Linked DNA regions of Tamandua tetradactyla. The protein of the gene in region 2 binds, or shares a complex with, the protein of the main gene of each other region. Links are inferred from orthologs where the notes say so. Each region holds a gene or a part of one and is shown on either strand. Other genes may lie near its edges.

Region 1 (10,028 bases), on a different chromosome or scaffold from region 2:
TTATTTGTATCATCTCAATCGACTTTTTCCCCTTTTTTTGTGAAAAATAACATATACACAAAAAAGCACTAAATTTCAAACCACATCACGACAATTAGTTGTAGAACAGATTTCAGAGTTTGGTATGGGTTATAATTCCACAGTTTTAGGTTTTTACTTCTAGCTGCTCTAAGATACTGCAGACTAAAAGAAATATCAATTCAATGATTGAGCACTCATACTCATTTGTTAAATCCTATCTTCTCTGTTATAACTCCTCCTTCTCCTTTGATCTTTCTCCCAGTCTTTGGGGGTATATGGGCTATGCCCAGTCTAACTTTTTCATGTGGAAGGGGCTGATAATAATATGGGATGGGGGATGGAACTATCTGATGTTCTGGAGAGGCTGGGCCCTTTAGGTTTCAGGACTTATCTGGTCCAGGGTCCCATCTGGAGGTTGAAGGTTTCTGGAAAGTTACCCTAGAGCATGGAACCTTTGTAGAGTCTTATATATGCCCTAGGTGTTCTTTAGGATTGGCTGGAATGGTTTTGGTTGGGGTTTGACAAGCTACGATAGGTAGTAATGTCCAACTGAAGCTTAACCATGCTCAAGTGTCCACACAGCCACGCCCCCTTTGCCTTACTGTCTCCTTGACAAAAACGCAGCCTCGTTCCTTATCTGTCTCTGTATCATGCTTTCTGTATCATGCTTTTCTCGGGTTCAAAGACCATGATCAGTCTCCCTAAGTTAGTGGGTCTCTAGCAGGGCGATTTCTAGCAGGGATGTTTGACAAGGTCAAGAGGTGGTTTGGGTTGCCGCCACATGGGGTGGGATTTGCTACTGGAATGTAGAGGCCGGAAGCTGGGGGTGCTGCCTGAAAGTTCACGGTGGCGAGGAGAACCCCTGCCACGAGGAAAGATGCAGCCCAGATGTCAGCCCTGCCGAGGCTGAGCTCAGACGCGCCGGCTGGAGTGAAGGAGAGATGGGAATCAACACCCAGTGCCGAATGCCACAATGCCGAGCAGACTGACAGGTCCCCGCCCGCATGCCGTCACTTCTGACTCACTCTCCTGCCATCCTCGTGGTGTTCTGGGGACGCTGTGTACAGGTACCTGGGCTGGGCCAAGTGTCTGGCACTCAGAGTGGATGGGAAGGTCCATCGTAACCCTGGTGCACCCCATCAATCGAGGGGGCCACACATCACAGTACCGCGGTCCTCTTCCCAGCCAGCCAGACCCACGGACAGGTTCCCTCCCCCTATAGCCACCCATTCTCTGCTGTCCCCAGACCTGTCCATGACACTGCCCTCCTTTGGGAACTGCGGCCCCATGACTTCAGGTCCTTCTTCCTGAATGCACGGGGCCAACTGCTATGCCCATACGCTGAGCAGTGTGCCCAGCTCTCCAGAACCTGCCAGAAAGAGTGTGGGGGCTTCTGTTCCGCTCAAGCTGTCTCTAGGGAGGGAATGCTATATGTTCAAGAGGAAATGGACCTCATCCAAACTGGGAGAGTGGATCTACCGAGAACAGGCGCTTCCGCTGCCTGTCTCACGGCCGGATGGGCGTGGAGTGCGGCTGAGTGGGGCCAAAGGCCGGTGGACATGGGAACCAGAGAGGAGCGGAGGAGAAGAGCTCGTCAAGCCTGTTGGCATTTCCTCCTGGCCCCTGGATGGTATTTACTCGGCCAAGCCCAGGCTGTGTTTCTGGGTGTGTGTGGACAGAGGTGGGGTAAGCTGAGGGTGCTGGCCAACTCAGGCCTGTGAGATCTCTGGGGGGGCAGGGCCAGTCTTCCTGATCGGCAGCAAGGTCCGAGGGACCCTGGAAGCCCCTCCCTGCACACCTAGCTCCCCCATGCCAGCAGGTGCCACGCTGCCTCCTATCTGCCCTCCTCCCCCAGCCCCCACTTGGAGCCATGGGTCAAAGTACATACAGATTCCAAGACAGGGGCTCTCCTAGAGCTCCCACCTGTCCCACCCAGCAATGTCAAGGTGAGCGGCAGAGGAGGCTGGTTGAACAGTGAGAAAGAGGTTGCCAGCTACAGCCCCGGGGCCTCCTTCCTCATCCCCGACCCTGCCCTCCCTCCTGCCCAGAAACCACCCTGCTTTCATGAGCCATGGGACATAGGGCAGAGAGCCACTGAAAGAGCGATTTGGGGAGGGTGGCAGGCACCTTTAGTAGATTCCTTCTCTGCTTCCTTGGCTTAGGGATGGGGAGAGAAGGTGGAGGGCAAGTGTGAGGGGGCCTTAAGGAGGGGCCGGCAGACTCAGGTGGGCTGTGGGAGCCAAGGACCCTGCAGGGACAAGACGGGGGCTGCGGGCTGGGAGGGGCAGACCTGGGTTCCAGGGATCAGCCTTTGGCCCTCCCCTGCTATGTCCGAGGGGGAGTCCCTTTACCCCTCAGGTGAGATGCCTGCACAGGACTTAGCCCGACTTCCCCCACCGCAGCCATCGTATGCAGAAAGCTTTCCATCACCATTTTTGAGGATGGAAAGGTAGAGGGCTGGCAAGGTCAGCCAAGGTCGTCTGGCTGCCAGGGGGGGCCGGTTGCCGGGTGGCTCTGAGTTAACCTGCCTCTCTCTCCCATCTCCTTGCCATCCTGCTCCCTGCCCCCACTCTTGCCCTACCCACCACATCACTTTGTCCTGGTAGAACATGAACTGGACCCTCTCCCACCTCTGCTCCAACCTTCTTCCTGCTCCCTGCCCAGCCTCTTGACCAGACTCCTACCTCCTTCTCCTCTGGCCGCCCTGATCTCCTACCCCAACCTCCTGCCCCAGCCTCTGGGCCTCAGGATCTTTCCACCTGCCGCTCCCAGGGCCTTCTGTCCACTCTGGTGACTTCTGAATCCTCTGCTCTCAGATCGGTGGCTAGTCCACAGTAGACGCTCAAAGAAATATTTGTTGATGGAAGGAAGGTAAGGAGAGAGGGAGGAAGGGAGAAAAAGAGGGAGGGAGGAATCTGCAAAGCAAGGAGTGGAGGGAATCTAGTTTTCTGTATCAGATGCTCTGATTTGTGGGGTGTGGGGAGAGGGGATAGTTCCCCTCCCTCCTGAGCCCTCCCTGGCCTCCCCCCCCACCCCTGTGTTCCTTCCTCTCTGCTCACTGCGCTCCTGGGCTCCTGCCTTAGGGAATCATTGTCAACTCCCCTGCAGGCCCATCCCATCTGCCATGAAAGTCCCAGCTTATCCTTTGAAAATCATCCCCTCCCTTCTTCTCTCTCTCCTCCCTCATTCATTCAGCAAGTATGTAATGAACTCTTAACACGTACTAGGCCTGGGGACACAGAAACAAACAAAACAACAATTTCTTTCCCCTGGAGCTTCTACTCAGTGGGGGAAAGGATAGATTATAACTAAATTAAGTTTACTATTTTAAGTGGTGATGGAAAAATTGGGCCAGGAGAGGGGATGGGGAGAATGGGGTGGGCTGGACCCCACCGTGGGAGGATGGAGATGCCATTATCGAGAAGGGGAACTGTGGCAGCTTTGTGTTTGGCCATGCAAGACACAGGTGGGAGATGAGAGGGGCCTGCAGAGGGCACCGGATGACAGGCATGCAGGCCAGAGGGCCAGGAGAGATGGAGATGGCACCCCGCCAGCCAAGGGGGGGAGCTCGGGAGGAGGGTGTGCCCAGTGTGTCCAGTAAGACACGACTCAGCCTGTGGGAGTTAGATCTGCGTGACCTTGACAGAGTGACCGATGGGGCCAGGTTGGAGCATGAGCAAAGGAGAAGGGAGGAGGAGAACTGGAAACTTCTCGTCCAGGTGGCTGCTTGTAAGAGATTCACTCTAAGGGAGCAGAGCAACCGGCACTGCGGTGGCAGAAGTGTGGTCCCGAGTACAGGTTTGCTCACCTGCTGCGGGGAGAAACTCCAGCCTGTTGATGTGCTGGTGGGAATGCTTCAGTGGGAGGGAATTCTAAGGCAGGTGAGGTGTGTCTGCCCCATGAGAGGTTCAGGTCAGACCCTTTACTTCCTCTTGATACCTACAGTGAAGCCATCAAACTCACCTGGAAGGTATTTATCCCACTAATGTACACTTACTTACATGGATATCTTACCTAAAAGACCGAGTCCCTAAATTATGTGTTTCTTTCCTAAAAACTAACATATTGGTTCAAGGTTCTGGATATCTTGGTAGCCTTTTGTTCCACTCATAATGGAAAAAAAGAAAGAGAAATGGAAAGGTTACAGCCATTCAGTGTGCAATGATTTTCTGAATGAACTGTACTTTAAACAGTTAACATCAAACATCATTTCCTGAACAACACAACCACATTTTACACTAACAAAAGCTGGAAAAAAGTGGCTTTGGGTTTGCTGCGGTACTCGAAACCACTGCTCTGAAGATGAACTTTTCTCCAACTTGTGTGGTTCGAGGCACGCACAAACAGAAAAACGTTTTTCCAATTGTTCCAATTTTCTCCAAAGTTTCATATCTCAAGTCAGCACCACACAATGCAGCTGACAATTGTTTCTTAATCATGTCATCTCCCTCCTTTTGCATCTCCCTACCTAGATTAGAGACACCCTGTGAGACTCGGAGGGGTGCGGGGTCCAGGCAGGGTCAGTGACAGGTAGATGGGGTCCCTATGGACACCCACTCCCCATACTCCTCTTGCTGCCCTGGCCTTTGAGTCCCTCGGCCTTTCCTGGAACTCAGAACTGTTCTGGGAAAAATCCTTCTCCTGCTCCAAAAAATGTGAGCCAGGGGAGGGAGCTGAGGGGGGGGCCAGACAGTGCCTTTCTTACAATCCTACTGGCTTAGGGGCTCACAGGCCCACCCCCTTCCCCTTGTTGGCTGGTCAAAAATATGGCCAGTTTATGTAAAATCCTGTTTTGTTCAGTAACCACTCCCCTCTCCTCCCCCACCCCCCACCCCCAACTAAACTGGCCAAGTGCACTTAAAATTCTAAGGCCTCCATCTGGAAAAGGAGCCCAGGGTCAGTTTCACACAGGTCATCTGCCCAAACGGACACAGGGGAAGGGGTGGCAGGGAATGACCTCTGCTCCGAAGGGCACATCCCTTTTGCTGGAAGGAAAGGGACCCCAGGGGTTAGGAGGGAATCCCACAGTGCCCTCCTCCAGCGCCCAGCTAAGAGGCGAGGGGTGACCGACCACCGCTTGGTGCCCTTGAGCCATGGCTGCGCTGTCCCCAATGCTGAGTCAGAGCCCAATGGGCGCTGCCCGCTCCTGTGCACCCCTCCTCCCGACCTCAGGCGATTTGGGGGGCTGCCCCGGGGGGTAGGAGGCCGGGGCTGGGCGCAGTGCGCGCCGGCGGCCAGCAGCGTGGTTCAGGCCCGGGGGCGCGGAAAGCAACCCCCGCCCGCCTCCCCTCCCCCGCCCGCCGTGCCAGGCTGGGCACAACAAAAGCCCGGGTTTTGGGGAGGGCCGGGGAGGCGCGGGAGGCGCGGGAGGAGGGGGCTGCTGGGAGCGCCCGGAGCCTGCACTGGCCGCCCGCCACCGGGAGGAGGGGCGCCAAATCCTTCGAGCGCAGTAAAACGCCCGGCTCGGCCCGCGCCCGCCGCAAACACATCCATAGAAGGCAGTCGGCGGCGCCGGGGACCAGGCTGCGGCGCACGCTCTCGCCTCGCCGCCCCCCGCTCCGCTGTCGTCTCCGCCCGGTAAACGGCTGCCCCCCAGCCCACCCCAGTGTCCCCCGACCCTGCTCCCCGCCAGGCCCGCGCCGCCCCCGAGACAAAGAGGAGAGAAAGTTTCGGCGGGTGAGTACGGCCAGGTGCGGAGGGATGTGCCGGGGCGCGGGAGGGGGTACCCCGCCTCGACCCCCCAGCCCCGGGCCGCGCCCCGAAGCGGAGCGCGCAGCCTGAGCGTCCCCCCAACCCCCCCCACCCCCGCCCCTCCTGTGCCCCCCACCAGCCCGCCGGAGAGGAGCCGCGCGGCCCGGAGAGGAAGCGGCGGCGGTCGAGCCAGGAGCCCGAGGAGCGGAGAGCAGCGCCCTGCCCGGCCCGCGCCGCGCCCCCGGCCCGCCATGGGCACCGCGGCCCGCAGCCTGCGGCTGGCGCTCGGCCTCCTGCTGCTGGGGACGCTGCTTCGCCAGGCCGACGCCTGCAGCTGCTCCCCGGTGCACCCGCAACAGGCGTTTTGCAATGCAGATGTAGGTAAGGAGCGGCGCCCCCTGCCCCCCGCCTGCATCCCCACCTCCCCCCCAACCCCGCGGGCACCGCGACCACCCCGCTGCTGCCGCGAGCCGCCCGCTTCTCGCAGGGACCCAGCGCCGGCCTCTGGGTCGCTCGGCCTCCTTGGAGAATCCTGCAAGTTGACGCCAAATCGTACTTTCTCTTTCCCCTTCCTTCCCTCCCTTCTTTTCCCCTCTCTGCCGAGATGCTTCTGAACCTCAAAATTCCACCGAAATTTCACTGCAGCCCAGCCCCCGAGAAGGGAGCCAGGGAGCCCATTGCGGATTGGGATTTGGCAGGCGTCGCACCCTGGGTGGGCAGAGTGGGGGACACAGTGGGTGGGTGGGTGTGGGCAGGAGCAGTTCCGTCTCTGTAGTCTAGAAGAGTGAAGACCCTCGGTAGAAACTTTCGCAGGGGACACAGGAGTTGAGCTCCCCTGGGCTTGTGGCTGGGTGAGGAAGGGCTTCTCCCAACAGCCCCATTTGGGGGGTTGCCTGATTGAGGGGGGAGGCCTCCCTGTCCCTGGCTATGGGAAAAGCAGGTTAAAGCCCCAGGGGCCCGGTTGCTGGCTGACTGCCTTCCCTGCCCGGGAGACCCTGCAAACAGGACTGAACAGGGAGGGAGGAGGGCCCTTCCATAGTATGCTCCCAGTGATGGCTTTTTTTTTCCTTTCCTGGACATCTGCAAAAACTGGAGACTTGTGACTGGAGGGGACAGGGCGGGGCTCGTGTGACTGCTTTAATTCCCCAGCAAACATATATTCCCCCCAGGACTCCTTGCCCCCAAAAGGTGGGAGGAGACAGTTATTTGTTGAGATCCATGGAGGGGCAGAAGTGGGGAGCCCTGCAGGCCTGGCAATCATGAGCCACCAGGAAGTCGGGATTTTCCCCAGACGAGTTTATTTCCACCAAAATGAGGGATGACCACAGGTCAGCTTCTGCAGCCCCCTCTGCCTTTGGGTTTATTTTTCACTTAGCCGGCCAAGCAGCCCCCCACCACACCAGATGTGGGAGGCAGGGTGTTCCCCAGATGCAAAGCCGGAACCTCTCTCTTTCCCCTGTTGTCATACCCTCCCCGCACCCAGACTCCTTGCCTTATCCCAGTCGGCCTTCGGGCCTCTGCCGGTGAGGCTGGACGGTCTCCAGTGGCCCTGACATGTGGGAACTGGTGTGTGGCTGGGCCGCCTTGGGGCGTGGCGAAGTCATTTCCACAAAACCTGATTTGGCTGAAGTGAGGTATGTTTTCCGATTTGGCTTTGGTGCACAGAAAGATCTGGGGGAGAATCAGAGGCTCCTCCTGACGGGGACGCCCGGGTTGGCCTTCCCATGGGGTGTCCACGGGCGACAGACTCTTGCAGTCCCTTTTTGCAAAGAGAGAGAGAGAAAGCTGCACTTTTGCAGTCATGGGGCAGTCATGGCACGGGGCAGAACCAGTTCAAGACCCTGGAGAGAAATTCAGGGCCATGAGACTCAGGTTTGATCTGCAGAAGCTGAGCTGGAGGAGCTAGACCCTGGACCACCCAGCCCCCTCAGCTGCCACGGGGAGAATTTCCAGCCAGCCTCTCTAACCTATTCCCCTGCCTCTTCCGTGCTGCTTGCCCAGTTGGAGAGTATGTTTCTGCTTTGGGTTTGGATTCTGGAGCTTCAGTCTGCCCTGAGGCTCCTTCTCACTTTCTGCATTCCTGGGCTCTGCCTAGATTTCCCAACACTTGTGTCTAAATCATTGCATCAAAATCATCCTCTAGCCAGTGCTTTCCCCCACCCCAGCCCAGAGTCCCCTTCAGGCCCAGAGTTGCACTTCAGAGGCAGGCTGCCCTCTTACTCCACCATCATCCCTTCTCAGTCTGGCCGGCTGGGGGTACAGAACCAAGGGCCTCCCAGCTGAGGCCCATGCAAGCTGGGCCCCTGGAAGCCCTGGAATAAAGGTGACAGTGAAAGCCAGGACCTTCTGAATTTTCTCTCCTCCCTTTAGAGGTACAGGCTTGAGATCTTCTCAGCAGAGCTTCCCCACTCAGTCTGGGAGCAGAATTGCGAGGGGACAGGCTTTGGTGGTTTTCGGAGCTCCTTGGGTGGCTCAGTACAGCCAGAGCTGTTTCCCAGGGGTCCCAACAGGAAGGTTGCTGGCCCAAGGCATGCGAGTGGGAGCCTGACTCTTTCACGTGGCATGCCTGCTCCTCTAATTGTGGGTTGGGTGCAGACTTATTAAAATGTCCTGGTGTCTACAAGAGACAATTGGCTTCAGAAACAATCACATCTCCTTAATTAAACAAGTCTGTCCATGAACAGATTTCTGGGAGGGCTCTTCCTATATCCTGCAAGCAGTGGGATTGGAACCGTGATCAACAAAGAGATGCATTGTGAGGTTGTAACATTTAGGGTGTGTGGAGTGGTAAGATTTCTTTTCTCCTCCAGCACAGTCAGGCCCCACAGGAAGCACCACCCATCTCAATGAGGGTGCAGCCTGACTCCTTTCATCTAATGGAGTCCTTCGCCATCTCCTGCAAGCCTGCTTAGCTCCAGAAAGCTGGCTCGAAACCAGCGATGGGCTTACGGTACCACAGCACGTGGAGCCTGGAGGCACTTAGCCAGCTGAGCTACCTGGCACGCTTGGGCTGCCTGGCCAGCTCCCAGAGCCCAGGGTAAACCTGGGAGCTCACTGGACCTAGAGAATGAATCTCCCCTTTGGCCTTCGGTGGTGGTACCCAGAGCCACATTATCCCAGAAGAGCTCCTGTGATGCCATCTTTCTCAGCATGTTCCCTCTTCCAGGAACTGCTTTCTCCAAACTCACAGGCGGTCTCCAGCACAAGGTAAAGGGGCCCACAGCCAGGGCACCAAAAGAACCACGTGCTAGCTTCCAGGGGGGCTGGGCCAAAGGTGGCCTGATTTTCAGTGGGACGCAGTGGGCCCTGTGCATGCCCCTCTGGGGACCAGACCAGCAGGGACATCCTCAAAAGCAGTTCCCTCCTCCCCAGACATGAGTGCTCAAGATTGGGCCCCTACGTGCTGAATCAGGTCCTCAGTACCTGGCAGGGGGGATGGGGAGAGCGGGACAGGAGTCCTCGTTAGAGACACTGTTGGCCGCGCCACCACAAAGGGCATGGTTGATCATTCCGCACAGCACAGTTTTCCTTTTGGGTCTGTCTGTGTTTCTGCAGGCAGTTGTGGAGGGGCTAGCTCTGCTGCAGGGGGTTATGTGAGAAGTGGGACTGCCCTCAGGAGGGAGAAACTAAGCATGCAAAACCAGGCAGGGTGGACCAGAGCGAGGGGAAGCCCTGCAGACCTTCCCTGACTGCCAGGGCCTGGATCAAGTAGGGCCGACTTGACTGATTTAGGCAACTAGCTGACTGTGAGTAGACTTTCTAGGTAACCCAAATTCAGAAGTAGCAGTATGACAAGGTCAAGCGCATTTGCAGGGTCTGGAGATAGAGGGTTCCAGTGGCAGAATGGGGGAAAGGGGCCATGGGGGTGCCTGAAGCTCTTTGGCTTGGCTTTGAACAGTGTCCCTGGAAGGACACTTTTTCTCGGGGGACAGACTAGGACCTGAGTTGCTGGCAGTTCCCAGGGGTTGGGAGATGGGAAGATGGCAGAGCAGTGTGGCAGGCAGCTGGAGGGGCACTCCCACTGCCACCCGTTCCTGTCTGCCTGGGACCGCAGGACATGGTGCCAGCTTGGGACCTGCTCTGACCTCGGCCATCCACATGTCCTCATGGTGAGAGCCTGCCGCCCAGGCTGCCCAGTGGTCTGTGTGCTGCATGTGGGCATTGGGCCCTCCCTGCTGCTGCCTCTCCTCTCCATGGGCCCCAGCTGGGCTCCAGGCGCATCCCCACAGCTCCTTCCTGGACGTGACACATGGGACATAGGCGCATCCCCCCCAGGCCCACGGGAGACACTCACAGCCACCCTTAGCCTCATGCCA
Region 2 (9,342 bases):
GGTAAACATTAAGAAAGAGTTAATTTTGTTAACAACATGGACATGCCCCCTCTCCTGACCTTGTGCCTTCTTTGTCTATGCCCTCTATAAAACTCTTCTACTCCACCCCCCACCCCAATCAATACAGAACATTTTCATTCTGATCTCTGTATATGCCACCATCAGAGCAACTTGACTCCTAGATGAATTTCTTTCTTCACTCCTAGAAGTAAGTCCCTATAATAGAGGTTCATGTCTCAGTCTGTGCCTGGTGTGGTCTCTCAGATGGAAAGGTACCTTCGGGCCAGGAGAATTGGCGAGCCAGCCAGGAGGCTAAAGAAACCGCGGCCTCTGATGGCAGGAACCCTGGGAAAGGAAACTCACAGGGATGGGTACTGGGATGGCCTGTAAAGTCTATGTGGGGAGGGACATCCACACCCCTGGATGAATGGGGTCTGCTAAGGGATTATGGAGATGCTTGTATATCCCTGGCTGGACTAATAGCCCGCCTTTAACAGGCCATGAGACTGTTAGGATCTGCGGGGGGAACCCCAAGGTGGATTGTAGTGATTTCTTCTGTAGATAAGTTCCCTAATAAGGGGAAGGGAGATTTCATGGGGGTAATTCTGGGGCCTGGGGCCACCCACTTGCTTAACTATGTTGTGGTCATCATCGTGTGTGATACAACCATTCCAAGAAGACAAAGAAATTCACAGGTTGAAAGAAGAGATGCAGTTAGAAAGAGATATACAGACTTCCACCTCTGCTTTAGTAACAAGCCTTTCAGAGCAATTAGAGTTTTAAAAAATGATGATATGGAAGTGCTGGCCTGTCTTTATAAAATTTGCAGGCCAAGAAAAGGATCCAGCCAAGGTTAAAACTGTGTTAACTAAAAAGGATTAGAATCAGAAAATCTGGAATCTCTGGGAAGACATTAAGAAATAACCAATACAACTGGAAAAATTAACAAAAGTGCAAATTGTAAAAATTAAGAAAACTTTGATAGGTCTGTGAAATTTAAGTTTTTAGCATCAAATAATATATTGATTTAAACTGCAATTTAGTTTTCTCTCTATTAAAATAATAAAGTTTCTTTGGATTATTAGTCAGCTTTTTGGAAAGAAGTTATTAAAGTTTTTTTCCCCTGAGTAATCAATATAAAATGCAGAAAGTCTGCGTTCTATCAGAATAACTTCTTATACTTTATATTGACTTCATTACATCTTAGTTGTTTAAAAAAAAATCAAATCTCACTTTTAAAGAAGCTGAATCTTTCTCTTGGCTTTGGTTAATAATAAGAGAAAACCAAATATTGTTTCAAACCTGACTACTTTCAACATCTTGCCTTCTCAGGGTCAAGCCCCAAAGGATATCTTTTTATTCCAAACAGTTGCAACGGACTTGTTTTTTCACCTTAAAATAAAATGAAGCAGTAAAACTAGTTAAGTTCATTTGATATAAGTTGCATAGGAAATGTTTAAATAATGTTATAAGAATTTAAAGAAGTTTTCTAACTTGTTGGTTACTGTTCTCATTTGCTAGCTGCCAGAATGCAATATACCAGAAACAGAACAGTTTTTGAAAAGAAAATTTGTAAGTTGCTAGTTTACAGTTCTAAGGCCATGGAAATGTCCCAATTAAAAGAAGTCTATAAAAATGTCCAAATTAAGGTACAACAAGAGGTTACCTTCAATCAAGAAAGGCCGATGAAGTTCAAGGTTTCTCTCTCAACTAGAAAGGCACATGGAGAACATGGCGACATCTACTAGCTTTCTCTCTAGGCTCTTTGCTTATTGAAGCTCCACCAGGGGTGTTTTCCTTCTTCATCTCCAAAGGTCTCTGGCTTCATGGACTCTCTCGTCTCTCGTGGATCTGCCATTTCCTCCAAAATGTTTCCTCTTTTTTAGGAATTCAGTAAAGTAATCAAGACCCACCTGAAATGGGTGGAGTCACATCTCCCGCTAATCAAAAGTTAATACCCACAACAGAGTGAGTCACATGCCTGTGGAGATAATCTAAACAAGTTTTCAACCTAAAGTGCTGAATAGGGATTAAAAGAAAGGGTCACTCCCACCAGATTGGATAAGGATTAGAATGTGGCTTCTCTAGGGCACATAAATACTTTAAAACCAGCACAGTTACTGATCTGCAAAATGGAATACAATATGGTCCTGCTAGTTGTGGTTTTCATTATTTTAAAACATGTAAAAAAGAAATTGGACCTCTGCTTTTAACCAAAGTGTTTACATGTTTAAACCAGGCTCTGAATGCTGTGCATAGCATCTCCCCATTTGAGTTACTGGCACAGCTGGTTTCTATGGCCCCACAAACTATAAAGGTATCAGACACACCTTCTGGTCATGCCCCAGAAGGGGATGGAAACACTTTTTTACTACTGACACCTGCAACCCTGTCTGCTGGAAAAGGCTCAGTGGACACTGCCTCCAGACTGACTGACTGCTCCATAGTACCCAAGGGTGCGATGGAACAGGTTGGTGGAGCCCTGGAGCCCATCTTCCTGTTCGCCAAAGAACCACCAATGCTACAATATGAACAGTGCATCAGAGGTGTATCTACCAGGGAAATAATGGCCAGAGTGATGTGATAAGAACCTAAAAGGATACAACTGGCCCTAAGCCCTGCTTGCATGGAGGAACAGCATGTGTGATATAGTAAGCCTGGCACTTGCAATGTGAGAGCTAATATCCTAAGCCCTAGGGGAGAATGTTTTACAGTAATTTTACTCACAAAAGAGGACTTTCCTATTAGGGTACCTACTAAACGTTTATGTTTGGGCCCCTAAGCTTCTTTCCTGCTTCATCTCAGTTATTTGTCTTGCTTGATTAAGCTGTGGCCATAACAGCATTCCTCAACCAGACTGACTATTAGAGAACATCTGAACAAGACTTGCCCATCCGTGACGTCTGCTTGGGGTGGCCTGAATTAAATGGTTGCTGATTATGGCTTCTTAAGTGCTAGAATTAAAAGACATATCGGTTCTATAATGCTTCTAATTTAGCTGCACGCTAACAGTATTGATTATTTGTCTATCTTGTTACAGTTTATATTGCAGTTGTGGCCTCATTTCTCAATATCACAAGCTGTAAAGCCTCCTGTTCCCACACTCAAGGACGTATATAGAAGAGGTAGCGGAAAGATTGTTAGAGCTGTGGGACAGGGTGAGTTGGAACGTAACGTTTTTGCATTTTTCAGTATCCCCCAACTCTGCCAACTTTGTCAGCAATTATGCACATTCCTGAATCTACTCTCTCAACTCTGTGCCTTCATTATCTTTCCACAAGGTTAACTCCATAAGAACTTGTACCCAGAGAGGTAAACATTAAGAAACAGTTGACTTTGTTAGCAACGTGGACATGTCCCCTCTCCTGGCTCTGTGCCTTCTTTGTCTATGCCCACTATAAAACCCTGCTCCCCACCGCCCACTCATTAATGAGGAACACTGTCACACTGAGCTCTGCATCAGCCACCATCAGAGCAACTTGACTCCTAGATGAATTTCTTTTCTTCATTCCTGTTAGTAAGTCCCTATAATAAAAGCCCACGCCTCAGTTTGCGCCTGGTGTTTTCTTTGGTCTCTTGGCTGGAAAAGCCCCTTCGGGCCGGGACACTCTCCAATAGGGCATGGACATGGGCCAAATGGGGCTGGGCGAGGAGGCAGTCCCGACCCCACTCCAGCCAGACCCCCATTATCTCAGATGCACGCCCCTTGCAAAAGCCAAGGTTTCTCACTGGGTCAGGCTGATGGGCCTGGTCCCTCCTGAGGGGTGAGGTCCCTTCCAAGAGGCTCCTTTAAGTCTGATTTCTGGCAGCCCAGTAGCACATGCCTGCCAGACAAGCCCAAACATAACTGAAGCCCACTGAGACCTGAGCTGCAGAGGCTTTTCGGGCCCTTAAGATAAAGCCAGACACATCTCTGTGACCATCAAGATTCTCTGCAAGCACATGGCTGCTGACCCTTTCGGCTCCATGTCTTTGCTCCTGGAGCTCATCCCTGCTGAGCCCTGTGCCACACTAGACCCTTTTCTGATCCAGGGGCTTCCTTCTCCAGTGCATCTTTCTGTCTTTCATCTCTGGGCTTTTTGCATCTCTTTACCGTGGCCAAAATATCCCTCTTCCAACAATCCCTCTTTCAGCTCTTCAGTTCTCAGCTCAGGAAAACTTCTTCCAGGAAGACTTCCGTGACTGTTTAGGAGCTCAGGCCGAGTGCCACCACAATCCGCAGTCTTTCCCGAGGGGAGGGGGCACTCCTCTGGACAGGGACCGTGACTGCTGTGCTCCCCAGGGTATATCTGGCATCTTGCACTATGTCTGGGCAAAATAAATGCTTATATATTTGCAGAAGAAGGAAGGAAAGTAGGGAGAAAGGAAGAAGGGAGAACACTGATGATCTATCTTTGCTTCTGACCCTTTGTTTCTGACCGTCCCTCCCCATCCAGGACCCATCATCACCGTGGAGTGCAGGGTGTCCTGGCCCACGGGGTCCCCCCATGAACCACTGTTCTCCACCCTGAGGACGTGAAAAGTCTAAAGTCGTGCTAGATGTTTCCTCGTAGCGGCCTCCAGACAATAGGTATATATATATATATATATATTTTTTTTTTTTCTTAATTTGAGGGGGAAGGTATTGTTCGGGGGTGGGAGGAACCCGTGCAGCTAGTGCACGCACTGATGGTGGATTCAGAGGCCGTGGGTAGCTGGTGGAGGTGGAGAAAAGGAGGGGGAGGGGGAGAGGGAGGGGGAGGGTGGGGAGGGAGAAGGGGAGGAATTGGAGGGGGAAGGGGGAGAAGGGGGAGGAGGAGGAGGGCTGGAGGAGGGGTCAGAGAGGGGCGGGCCTGAAAGCGGCCCCCCGCCCCCATAAAGAGCTGCCAGCACCCTCCCAGTCCAGCCGGCCACATCTGGCGGCCGCCCTCCCTTGTTTCCGCCGCATCCAGACTTCCTCCGGAGGTGGCTGGAGGCTGTGCATCTGGAGCTTTAAACATACAAAGGGATTGCCAGGGCCGGCGAGAACAGGCGGTGGCGCGGGCTGCGGCGCAGGGGCCGGACCATGCGCCACTGAGTCGGGCGGAGCCGACCGAGCCGAGCCGGCCCTCGGAGCACAGCGCCGCGCCGCGGAGCAGGCGCCAGCCAGGCGGCGCCGCGGTCACCCGCACCGAGCCAGCGAGTCCCGGGCGACGTGCGGGGCCCGGGAGCGCAATGATGGAGGCGCGAGTGGCCTGGGGCGCCCTCGCCCGTCCCCTGCGGGCGCTCTGCGTCCTGGGCTGCCTGTTGGGTCCCGCCGCCGCAGCGCCGACGCCGGTCATCAAGTTCCCCGGCGACGTCGCCCCCAAAACGGACAAAGAGTTGGCGGTGGTGAGTTGTCGAATTGGCCTCAACAAGCCAAGTTGAAACAAACTTCTGAGGCGGAGAATGGGAGGGGGCGCATGGGCACACGTTGCGGGGAGGGGACTTCAGAAAACAGACTGCTGTATCTTTGGCACAGTGATGGAGAGATCCCTTTTGCAAATGGTGGAGGGGGGGTATTTTGGAAACTGGAGGCCTTTGGTTAAACAACTTGGCAACATTCAGGACACAGCTGGGAGCTGAGAAACAAAGCCGGGCGTGTGTTGGGGGGCGCGGGGGTGCGGATTGCTTTGGCAAACGGTTGGAAAGGGCCCCTTTTGCAAATAACCGGGACATTGTCAAACATCTGTGAGCTTTGGCAAGGGGAGCGGGCTTTGTAAACAACTTTTGGCCACATCTGGGGAGGTGGCTAACGGGGCCTTTGGCAAGCACGTTGGTAGGCCTTTGGCAGACAGCTAAGGGGGTCTCTTTTGCACTTGGGGGAGGAGCTTTTGTGCCTCTGAAGGACTTTGGCAAAGAGGTTCTTTGGCACACAATCTGGGAAAACTTTGGTACGCATAAAGATGGGAGCTCTGGGCAAAGCGAGACCTGGCAGGCGTCTGGGAACCTCTGGCGCACATCTGGAGAGGGGCTTTGGACAACAGCTCCCTGGGACGGTTTGGCAAATAATTGCGTCAGGAGGGAAGCGAGGAGAGCATCTTTTTCTTCTGGCTTGATGGGTAAATTGGCCCGGAGGGTCAAGGTTTGCACCTCTGAGTCTCGGAAAATTTCCTCGAACTTCTCCAAAGTGTTGGCGGACAGAAGAAAAAACTGGCCCGAAGGATGGGTGAAGGGAGGAGCAAAAGGGCGCGGGAGGTCCCCTGGCCCGTGGGGCGGGGGCAGACCGAGCCTGCTCGGGTCGGAGAGCGGCCAACCAGCCCTCCTTCCTGGCCCGCCTCCGAGCGGCGGCTCAGATGCTATTTTCTTTGAGCGCGTGCGCTTGGCTCGAGGGGCAGCGTGGCCACAGCGTTGCATAATCCGGGCTGGAGTGGGGGTGGAGTGGGGGTAGCGCACTCCCCTTTGTCCCTGTAAGCTCCTCCACCCTGTCCTGGAGCCTCTCCGGGTGGAAGGGCTCCTCCCATTTCGCAGTAGTCTTGACCCCTTTTTGCTTCTGCCACCCTGGAGAGCCGCTCTTCTCCATCCATCCAACCTGGTCCCCAGCCTGCTCAGGACAGGGCTCCCATGCCCTCTGGTCACCCTGGGAACTCTTTCTCGGGATGTGACATCTCCAGTATCTGGGTCTCTGCCACTTGTTCATTAGATGGGTTGGGAGACATCCGTACATTCGTAGGGAGCTGCCTTTTTTCAAAGGCTTAGTGCTGGACCTCTTAATGTGGCTGTTGGTGGGGGCTAAGGGTGGAACTTTGGAGCAGTGACAAAGCCACCTGGGTCTCCACACCTTCTCCAGCCTATGCATGTCTGTGTTACCAAGAGGCAATTCAGAGGAGTGCTTTGGAAGGTAGGCTTTAGATCCAAGTGTGAGCCAGCTGACTCACACAGTGAGTGTCAACTTTGCTGAGTCTCAAGTTTCTTCATCTGCGAACTGAGGATAATCAGCCTACCTGTCCTGGCACTAGAGAGGTTGTCTTAGGCACTGAGAAGTACCTGGTACATGATAAGTACTCAATAAGCATTAGCTGTTGTTATATTAATAGTAGTAGTCGTATAATTATTATTATGCCCTTCATTTCCCCTCATCTTATTAGCAGAAATGCCATTCTTTAGATGTTGCTTCTCAGGTCTGCAGGGTAGCTTTTCCTATTACCCTTAGCCCCTAAACAGTGGGATGGAGAAGCCATCATGAGGTCTCCAGGCCCTTTTCATCATTGCCATATACTTATCATATGTTTAACTTTGCATATATTTGTGTTCCATGTCACCTTCCCTATGCTGGGATTTCAACCCCAGAGACCAGAAGCATTACCTGTCTTCTTCACCAGTTTATTCCCAGCACTAGCCTGGAACATGGATTGACCTTGAAAACATTGTACTGAGTGGAAAAAGCAAAGGCACTTAAAGGGCAAATACCGTATGATTCCACAGATATGGAATACCTAGAAATAGCAAATTCATAGCTATCCAAAGTAGAATAGAGTTTACCAGGGAAGGGAAAGGGGCAAGTATTTCTTGGTGGGTATAGAACACTGGTAAATTTTAGAAATTTTGAAGTAAAATTAATTTTAAAGTGAAGTATTTGCTGGATAAATGAGTTGGCTGATCCCTGAACCTCTGCAGGAGCCTGTTTGGTTTGAGTCTTGGGTTGGGCGGAGCCAGCTGCACAGACCATTTTGTTTTTTTTTGGAAACAGCAGACCCAGAATTTGAACCCAGGTTGTCTGCTGCTAGAGCCGACGCACATCGCCCCTGAGTGTCCTTATAAGAAAGGGGGAGAAAATAATCCCTATGTCGCTGGCTTGACATTGGGGATTGAACGAGACAATGGACGTAAAGCAGGGCGGTGGCATGTCACAATTCCAAACATCTGGTCCTGGAGCCGGGTTGCTTGGGCCCAAATCCAGCTCTGCCATTTGTGAACTGTGTGATCTTAGACAAGTTTCTTAACCTCTCTGTGTATTGGTTTTTTTCTTCCATATGATGGGGATAGTAATCATATTTACATTATGGAGTTGTTGTGAGTGAGCATTAAATGATTTAAGACAGATTGACTTCAATGCCTGGGCATATCGTAATCCCCTAACACAGGGTAACCATGCTCCCTATGGTTGACGGGCCACTCAGCTGGAGGGTGACAGCTGGTTTTGAAACACAGGCTTCCTAACTTCCAGCCAGTGCTCCTGAGTCTCCAGACTACCTCCTGTCTGCGCTGCAGGGCTGGGCTGGGGCTGCTTCCTGTAGCCTACCATGGCCGATGCTGTGCCGTCCTAACATGGCTGCCCTCCTCGGGACACTCATGTCTTCTAGCAATACCTGAACACCTACTATGGCTGCCCCAAGGAGAACTGCAACCTGTTTGTGCTGAAGGACACACTGAAGAAGATGCAGAAATTCTTCGGGCTGCCCCAGACGGGCAAACTTGACCAGAACACCATCGAGACCATGCGGAAGCCACGCTGCGGCAACCCTGATGTGGCCAACTACAACTTCTTCCCCCGCAAGCCCAAGTGGGACAAGAACCAGATCTCATACAGGTGCTGAGGCCAGGCTTGGGGAGGCAGGGCCATCAACCTGGGGCTGGCAGACTGGGGACCCTGAGTTTCCTAGGCCTTGCCTTTTCCACTCTGGTATCTTTTGTAAGGCATGGCATCTTAATGGTTCCCATGCAGTGTTCTTAGGAGCTCTGGTCAGACAGTCTCACATGTAATAGCTGTGGCGCATTGGGGGACTTACTTTCCAATGCTTGGAGCTTTGGCTTTTCCATCTACAACGTGGGGCTAATGGAAACTTTCCTTATAGGGTTGTTGGAGAACTAAGCTAGGTTGCATATGGAAAGGGCTTTTCTCAGTGTCTGGCATGTAGCAAGAATATTGTAAATCTTAGTCATTATTGTTATTATTAGATGGAGTCACTGGCATGGGAGTGTGGTGGAAGGAATCCAGTGACTGGTTGCTAATTTGGCTAGGGAGACCCTCCCAGGCTGAGAGGTTGGCCCTGTATAGCTGATGCTGGATTCCAAGGGTGAGATCTCTCCCCTGTGTCCCTGTGTCCCACCAGACAGGCTGCCCCTGCCAGCCTGGAGTGAGAAATGAGACTCCTGGGATGGGCTTGAGAATGTTGGCTGGTCTGGGACGCCACAGGCCTCAAGATTTTCCGGGAGGGTTGCTCCCACAATGAGCTCTGCTTGACACACGCGTACCAGTACCTGCATATGCATACACGTATGCATGCACTTGCACACAAGTATACGTATTCATATGCACACAATCATGCACCTCAGTGCATACTTGTTTGCATGCATGAATACACACTCACATGCTTATGTACACACACTCATTCTTATATATTC

The links.
Region 1: the proteins of MMP2 (region 2) and TIMP2 are in contact, whole or in part, in a crystal structure (PDB 1GXD), measured with the Homo sapiens proteins. The link is inferred for Tamandua tetradactyla from reciprocal best matches to the Homo sapiens genes MMP2 and TIMP2. Residues at the interface, in NP_004521.1 of Homo sapiens: Trp574, Lys576, Asn577, Lys579, Tyr581, Phe588, Arg590, Lys595, Asp599, Phe602, Lys604, Ile606, Ala607, Asp608, Ala609, Trp610, Asn611, Ala612, Asp615, Tyr636, Leu638, Leu645, Lys646, Ser647, Val648, Lys649, Phe650, Gly651, Ser652; in NP_003246.1 of Homo sapiens: Ile162, Pro163, Cys164, Tyr165, Ile166, Pro169, Leu173, Met175, Val178, Thr179, Phe191, Arg196, Asp198, Ser200, Cys201, Ala202, Trp203, Tyr204, Arg205, Ala208, Lys211, Gln212, Glu213, Phe214, Leu215, Asp216, Glu218.

The regions. Positions count from the first base shown.
Region 1 is NC_135332.1:71,286,555-71,296,582, reverse strand, and holds the start of TIMP2 (metalloproteinase inhibitor 2), read left to right. Parts: upstream 1-5,495; 5' UTR 5,496-5,697; intron 5,698-5,851; 5' UTR 5,852-5,963; coding exon 5,964-6,093; intron 6,094-10,028. UniProt on the Homo sapiens protein: Complexes with metalloproteinases (such as collagenases) and irreversibly inactivates them by binding to their catalytic zinc cofactor. Known to act on MMP-1, MMP-2, MMP-3, MMP-7, MMP-8, MMP-9, MMP-10, MMP-13, MMP-14, MMP-15, MMP-16 and MMP-19.
Region 2 is NC_135342.1:49,189,956-49,199,297, forward strand, and holds the start of MMP2 (72 kDa type IV collagenase), read left to right. Parts: upstream 1-5,156; 5' UTR 5,157-5,193; coding exon 5,194-5,349; intron 5,350-8,300; coding exon 8,301-8,527; intron 8,528-9,342.